2 linked regions of the Daphnia pulex genome follow. The protein of the gene in region 1 purifies or fractionates together with the protein of each later gene. This does not show direct contact. Links are inferred from orthologs where the notes say so. Each region holds a gene or a part of one and is shown on either strand. Other genes may lie near its edges.

Region 1 (4,279 bases):
TTTTAACTGAAACATTTTTACAACATCTAGTTCCTTAAGAAAACTGTATTCTGCCACCAAACCAATGGGGCCAGTGAGTTGTTCATCCCAAAATATTGCCTAGCATAATTGATGAATTTACGAACATTTCTTAAATGGAATAGCACACACCAAAATACCTTTGTTCCACTGAACTTCTCTAAAAGAGAAACAATATCCTGTAACAATAACAAAACTGTTGACGAAATTTATTTTTACTGAACAAGACATCAACAGACTGTCAACAGACAACCTAATGGATTTTGTGGTTGTCCTAAGTCACAAAAAGCTAATGACTAAATCCGCATAAAATGAAATAAAATTTAGTATTACCAAATGAATCGAAACTTACCTATCCGCTGAGATAAATTACTGTAAGTTTACACAAAAAGTTTGAAGAAAATCGATGCAGTAGTTTAGATTTCTATAAATTTATTCTGATTCTGAATTAAAGGTTCTGGAAGCCTGGCCCAGAACAGCGTACACTCCCCCCACATCCCTCCCCCTCCTACACACCCAGACACCCGCATTTACTTTAATGCCTTCTGGTAGTACAAGTACTACCCTCAGGGATAATAATTACACATAGCAACCGCCATCGATGTCCACATTGCAGCCTTCCTTATACAAATCAAGTGTGCCATTGTACAGAAAAGCCTCGCCAAAACGATCCGCTGTCAATGTTGGCTTGATGTATAGGATCCCATCTCGAACGTAACTTTAAATTGAAATGAGTTATTTCCATTTTGAAATTCAATTTGAAAATAATACCTGTTTTCGGGTAGATTGTCGTAATATTGGAATTCACTGTTGCCCCCTCGCCATGCTGTAATTAGGTGCTTCCATTTGTTTGTGTCAAGAAATTCAAAATCATCTTGCCAGAGGATTGGTCCGCGCGCTTGGTTGTCAATGCTAGATCCGTGACAAACTGCCAGAGCAAAAAGGGCGATAATAGAGAGCTTCATCATGGCTTTGGCAGTGAACGGTAAGGAGAATATTTATAATTCTGACTGTTACCGGTTAAAGAATGAACGTAACATAGCTTTTATACTTTACCACAAGGACATATAGGATTTGAATCAGAAAATATTTTTTATCAATTCATGACATAAGCAAGACTCATTACACTTTGACCGCAAGATGCTAAATATTTTGACCTTTGAAAATATGGTGTAAAGGATTTTTGTTTGTAACGACGAGTATCCGGGTGGATTCAAGTCGAAATAAAATACAGCTTAGGTTATTCAAACATTTTTAAAACTGAACTATTTTTTTTTTTACTGTTTTACATTTATTCCCAATGTCAATTAAAAAATATTTTTCCTCGTCACCGTGGTATGTTTCTAGTACCGCTATACTTGAACTGAATAAAAAATAATCAATTCAAATGTAGTCAAGCGGACTTGGAAGGAACGTGATCGCGACGTGACAAAAACGTGATTGAAATGTGGAACAGCATTACGTAATAACACAAATTCTGTGTGTGATGTAGTGGTTAATAGACTAATAGTTTCCAGTAAGTAAAGGGGTTCAACGTTCTTTTTTCCCCCGACTCTTGTCTGTTATTTTACTTTGAAACAATATCCGGTAAGCCACCGGAATTGCCAAACAGTTATTGGTACTGTTATTCTGTACTGAAGGTTAAGAACACATATAACACTATAATAAATCCGGCTATATTCATAAGTATGAAATTTAATTGAAAGTACTTTAATTAACATGTTTATACGCTCCGACTCCGAGTAAATAACATAACCTAAATAAGGAGAGAAACACTGCGAGGCAACGATAGCGTTATCAGCCTACAGCTATCGACGAAAGAGGATACAAAAAAAGAAAGGTAAAATATTTACTTTTTTGTTTTTTTCTGAAAAGGGCCAACCACCCAACAACTTGGGTTGGTTGTTGGTATGCTCCGAATGTCCGCAGTCCTCCGCACCTTGATTTTCTATAACAAGCCAGTGATTGTGTTGTAAGGTCGATCTGGCAATGTTTTTCCCAGCCCCGTATTACTTTTAGGCGACTTTCATCTGTAATCTACACTTTCTAATCTATTTCGTCAAGCAATTACTTTTTAAAGCTATATTACTTATGACTGTAGAAAAATTTCACTATATTTAGTGCTCAACTCTTAGGATTTGGGTGGGGCTTTCAGTATAAACAAACAATTCAACCGGAAAACATGGCCGACGACGACAGCAGGCGTGGTGTAACCAGTGTGGCAGATGCCGACTCGGCTGAGCAAAGCACTAACAGCGGTGACAATCCACAGGTGAAAATAGTTGTGTTAATTTGACAACCAAAACAATGTCCAATAATATTTCCCATTGTCTGTTTAGGCTGAATCAAAAGCGGTGACAGATGACGTTGCAGTTGCCAGTCAACCCACTGAGGAGACACCAGAAGACAAGACGATTCCAGATGCCCCCAAAGCTTCTGCAGAGGTGATCACGTCTGCCACAAGAGATTCAGAAGAAACCAAAAATCGGTTGGCCAAGGCCAGAGAAGAGCTTAACAAAGCAAGAGAGGAATCGGCTAGAGCTAGGGATGAAGTTGAAAAAGCAAAAAAAGATCTTGCTGTGGCTAAGCAGGACACCTCAGCAACAATCCAAGTTGCAGTTGAAAAGCCATCAGCAGAAGTCAATGTTGCTGCTTCAGAATCCACCCCGAAAGTCGAAACAGAAATAGAAAAGCCTAGTAAAGCGGAAGAAGCTCCAGCTGTCACTGAACATGTTGAGAACAGCAAGAAAGAGGAAAAACCAGAGATACAACCAGAAACCCCTAAAGAAGAAAAGCTGGTACCCGAAGATTCCAAAAACTCAAATCAAAATTGTGAAGCTACTGAACCAAACGAGGAAGTTGGAGAAGAAAAACCTGTCACAGCCCATGAATCTCAGTCAGCAGTAGAAACTAAAACAGTCGAAGAGGAAGCTAAGGTAGAAGACACAGTAGTGACTGCTGACAATTCAAATGCCACCAAGGAAATTCAAGTAGAGAGCAACAAAGAGGTGGAAACACCAGTTGGAGCAACAGAGGAAGTGCAAGAAGAGTCTCATGTGGAAGAAAAACAACCTGAAAGCAGTAAAGACGAAGAAGGTGAGATAGTTGAAGGTGAAAACGAAGAAGGTGAGCTAGTTGAAGATGAAGAAGGCGAAGAAGTTGAAGGAGAACATGAAGAAGAAGAGGTTGTAGAAGGTGAACGGGAAGAAGGCGATGGAGAAGAAAGTGACGACGAAGATGCTCCAGCCAAGCCGTTAGATGATGATGAAGACCGTCGAAACCCTCAATATATTCCAAAAAGAGGTGGCTTTTATGAACACGATGACCGAAATCGTGAAGAAGTTGAAGAGGCAGCTGCGTAATTATAACAAGTTTCCCCTTTAACTTGTTTCATTTAAAATAATATTATTTTTTAACATTTTTGCAGTGAAGAGCCTGTAGCCGGAGTAGAGGTGGAAAAGCCGAAGAAGACGAGAAGTGAAGCCATCGATCGTTGGGGTCATGATATGTTTGACCCAAATCAGCAAGTGCCCAAGAGTGATCAAGAGTTGGTTGATCTCTATGGATACGACATTCGCCAGGAAGAAGGAGCTCCGAGGTATAATGCACGTCTATTGAGTTAGCAAGCACTTGTTTTTACTAACCGTCTGGGGAATCTATTTTTACAGGGCGCGCCGTCGCAGACGTTATGGTCGTGGCCCAAACAAGTACGATCGTACATGGGAAGATGAAGATGCTTATTCTCGGCCTCGCGGACGTGGTGGTGTTGCCTCAAGAGGTGGTCCCTCAGAACGTGGCTCTGGATTTGAACGCAATCCCGATTCCCGTCCGCGCACGCAGCGCCAAGAAATGCCCAAAAAGGATGAATTCCCCGCATTATCGGATGGCAAACAGGAGCCCAAGGCCCAGGGAGAGACTGCCCCAAAGCAATCTTCCCAATCCAATTGGAGAGAAGGTGAAAGAGGAATTGGAATGACTGGAGGCAACGAACGTCGCGGCGGTGGTAACAGCAACAATAGCAATAACAGTAAGGCGAACGCTGTTTCTTATCGACGTGGAGGAGGCGGACGAACATTCGAAGAGCGTCGAGAAATGAGAGAAGCCAAAGGACTTAGAGCCCGAAGTGACAGTGTGCCACAGTCTGGTGAAGGAGATGAAGAACAGTCTGCTGACCAACCTCCCAAAGAAAATATTAGAAGCCCCAGAAGACCAATGGGAGCAGAAGCTTCTCCTCGCGGTGCCCCTCGTGGAGGAAGCTCAC
Region 2 (2,759 bases), on another chromosome or scaffold:
CGAGTTGACACTCTATCAGGAATTCGTTGGTCACCGGATAGTCGATGCCGTTTTGGAGGATATAAGATGGAGTTTAGAGTTTCCCATATCGAAATTCAATCAAAGGCGCGTGAGCATGGCAAAATATCTGGCCGAGCTCTACAACTACCGCATGGTTGAATCATCGGTCGTCTTCAAAGTATTGCACATTATTTAATTTGTTTTTTCTATTTTACCAGCAACTAAAATTGCTGACATAAAAAAATATCTGCAGGTTCTGTACACTTGCATCACGTTCGCAGTCAGTTTCGATTATAATATCGAATCGGATTTGGATCAACCAGATAACCTTATGCGTTTACGATTAGTCTTGACTATCCTTGACACATGCGGAGTCTTTTTCAGTTCGGGATTGTCTAAAAAACGGTTGGACTATTACCTGGTTTATCTGCAGGTAACTAATGCTTAGCTGTCATAGTCTGTTTACAGTTTTGATTAATGGCGACCTTTTGTGTTTAGTACTACTATTTGTTCAAAAGATCTTTGCCGATCTGGACTGATGACAATCCATTTCCAGTAGCAATTGATTTTGGCATTAAGGACATGCTGTTGACCCTGCGTCCGAAATTGAAAGCTTATAAAACCCTGCAAGAAGCTGCCGATGCAGTGGAAAATCTGGAGAAGGAACTGATGAATAAACTTTCACAAGCTGTAACTATCCATACTTTGTGGATTTTGAATTTAAAATTAAACCTTGTGTCGTTATGTTTCTTAGATGCCAGAATTGCAGATGGACGTGGTACTTGCTGATGATACCTTGGCCTGCATCGAAGAAGAGGTAATGTTCAATAGGAACTTAAGCAAAGAAAAAATTAAAATTATTGGAAATTGTTTTATTTAAAAAAGGATATGGAGGAAGGCGAAGAAATGCGGGAATTGGACGACGACTCTATCAATGATGAGCAATCGCTTTCTCGTTCCATGTCTCAAATGACCACACGTGGTGAAACCACCCAACCGGACGAAGACACGCACAACGTCGAAGCAAGTGGAATTTGTAATGCTAGAAAATGGTTGGATGCTAATATGAGTCATTTGTTACAGGACGACCGCTGTGTGGTGACAGCACCTCGGAAAGCGCTTTGTCCCGAAGATGACGATTTCATGGCCGCTCTAGATCGTATGGTGGCCGAGAACATTCACGATGCATACACTCGCGGCAAGGAAGTCAGCAAACCACCTGCCGTCGATATTGCCATCCCTTGGCAGGTTAAGGCATCGCTCAAAAGACCTGGTGCGTTAAGAAAAAAAGGACCGAGCTGTTCATTTATTAATCAATCACTTGGCGCGTTGCAGATGGATCGGATAAAAATTTTCTGGGCGATTCCATTGGAGGTGAATTGGGAGGTGCCTTGGCAGTTGCTGAAGCTTCTTCTGCCTGTGCCGCCATCGCTTCGTCTCCTCCTTCAGCAGTCCATGACAATCCTACGGTGAATTTCTTCCTAATGACGCGTAAAGGCAATAAGCCACAGTTCAAGAATCTGGCAGTGCCTTCGGACTCTGAACTTGCACAGAACCTACGGAATCGTGAAGAGGTACTGTCTTCCACTTGACTTTTTTAAATGACGGGGTTTAATTTCTATTCTGACTCGCGACACAGGCCGAAAAAGCGGAGAAGGAACGTGTCAAAAAGTTGACACTGGATTTCAATGAACGCCAGGAAGAAGAAGAGTTCCAGGATTTGTACGGCGGAGTAAGTGATGAAAAATGCAGAAAGTTCTCAATATTATTTATTGAAATACATTTGACTTGGAGTTACAACAAAATATTTATGTTTGTAGGTAAATCGTCCAGCTGTTCACAACGTCAATCGCGATCGCCGAGGTCGTTTCCAGCATCCCAAAGGCGTTCCGGACGCTGAGCTCATATTTGGAGGAGCGAGAAAGAATCGGTGAAATAATTCAGCCGTCCCCCAGGGGCGATGTTCAGAGTTTTGATTAGTTTTTTTGAGCAAATAAGTAAAATTAAAAGGGATCCAGAAATATCACGGAACAATCCACGGGTTGCGGAAGCGATGTACGACGAGACATAGGTTTATTTTACGTCATAATTGACGTCGTATTTTCCCTGCATACGTGTCTCTTCCTTGCTGTTTCGCCAGCCGTAAACAATGTAAACAGATAAACCTGACAGAAATGAAGCAAGCAAATAATTACTGTTTAAGTTCAATACAAGAATTGTTTGTTTTTTTTCCCTTTTCAACTTGCCTATGGCCATGTAAATGGAGTATTGAACCCAGGTAACCATCCTCATATTCACCATTAAATACGCATTGATCAAGATACTCAAAGCTGGCAGCAATGGAACTAGAGGGACCTAATTATATTTCAATTGATTAGATAAGCGAAATCTGATTTTGGGAGAGAAATATGGTACTTTGAATGCAAGCTGGTTGGGTGATTGCGGCAGTCGATGGATGGCCACCAGTGATATCAGTAAAATAGTTGTCAGACATCCAACTAAAGTTAGAGCCCACGTTTCCTTTTGCACGAGGTTATCCGCCGTGTAAGAGAGACTGAGGCTAAGTGCGATTGCAACCAGTACTATAGATAATTAATAGATAATTAATAAAATCTTCTATAAAGAAATTAGTGGGAAATACCGTAAACAACAGTGAGCCAGGAAGCAACTTTGCCGCTGAATCCGGTTGGTAGACGTCCACGTTGAACGAAAATCTGTCTCAACACTGTCTGGCTTTCAACTGAGGAATCGGACACGTA

What was found.
Region 2: the proteins of protein CASC3-like (region 1) and regulator of nonsense transcripts 2-like fractionate together in Homo sapiens (co-fractionation; 3 studies listed by BioGRID and IntAct). This does not show direct contact. The link is inferred for Daphnia pulex from reciprocal best matches to the Homo sapiens genes CASC3 and UPF2.

The regions. Positions count from the first base shown.
Region 1 is NC_060026.1:13,506,330-13,510,608, forward strand, and holds the start of protein CASC3-like, read left to right. Parts: upstream 1-1,470; 5' UTR 1,471-1,858; intron 1,859-1,874; exon of another isoform or gene 1,875-2,153; 5' UTR 2,154-2,200; coding exon 2,201-2,290; intron 2,291-2,357; coding exon 2,358-3,376; intron 3,377-3,445; coding exon 3,446-3,616; intron 3,617-3,686; coding exon 3,687-4,279. Other genes in the region: beta-1,3-glucan-binding protein-like, read right to left, coding at 602-736, 790-986. UniProt on the Homo sapiens protein: Required for pre-mRNA splicing as component of the spliceosome. Core component of the splicing-dependent multiprotein exon junction complex (EJC) deposited at splice junctions on mRNAs.
Region 2 is NC_060024.1:11,698,141-11,700,899, reverse strand, and holds the end of regulator of nonsense transcripts 2-like, read left to right. Parts: coding exon 1-178; intron 179-253; coding exon 254-433; intron 434-498; coding exon 499-690; intron 691-754; coding exon 755-817; intron 818-885; coding exon 886-1,273; intron 1,274-1,335; coding exon 1,336-1,574; intron 1,575-1,639; coding exon 1,640-1,732; intron 1,733-1,753; exon of another isoform or gene 1,754-1,820; coding exon 1,821-1,934; 3' UTR 1,935-2,073; coding exon of another isoform or gene 2,074-2,165; 3' UTR 2,166-2,241; downstream 2,242-2,759. Other genes in the region: cationic amino acid transporter 2-like, read right to left, coding at 2,074-2,165, 2,247-2,355, 2,416-2,582, 2,642-2,759. UniProt on the Homo sapiens protein: Involved in nonsense-mediated decay (NMD) of mRNAs containing premature stop codons by associating with the nuclear exon junction complex (EJC).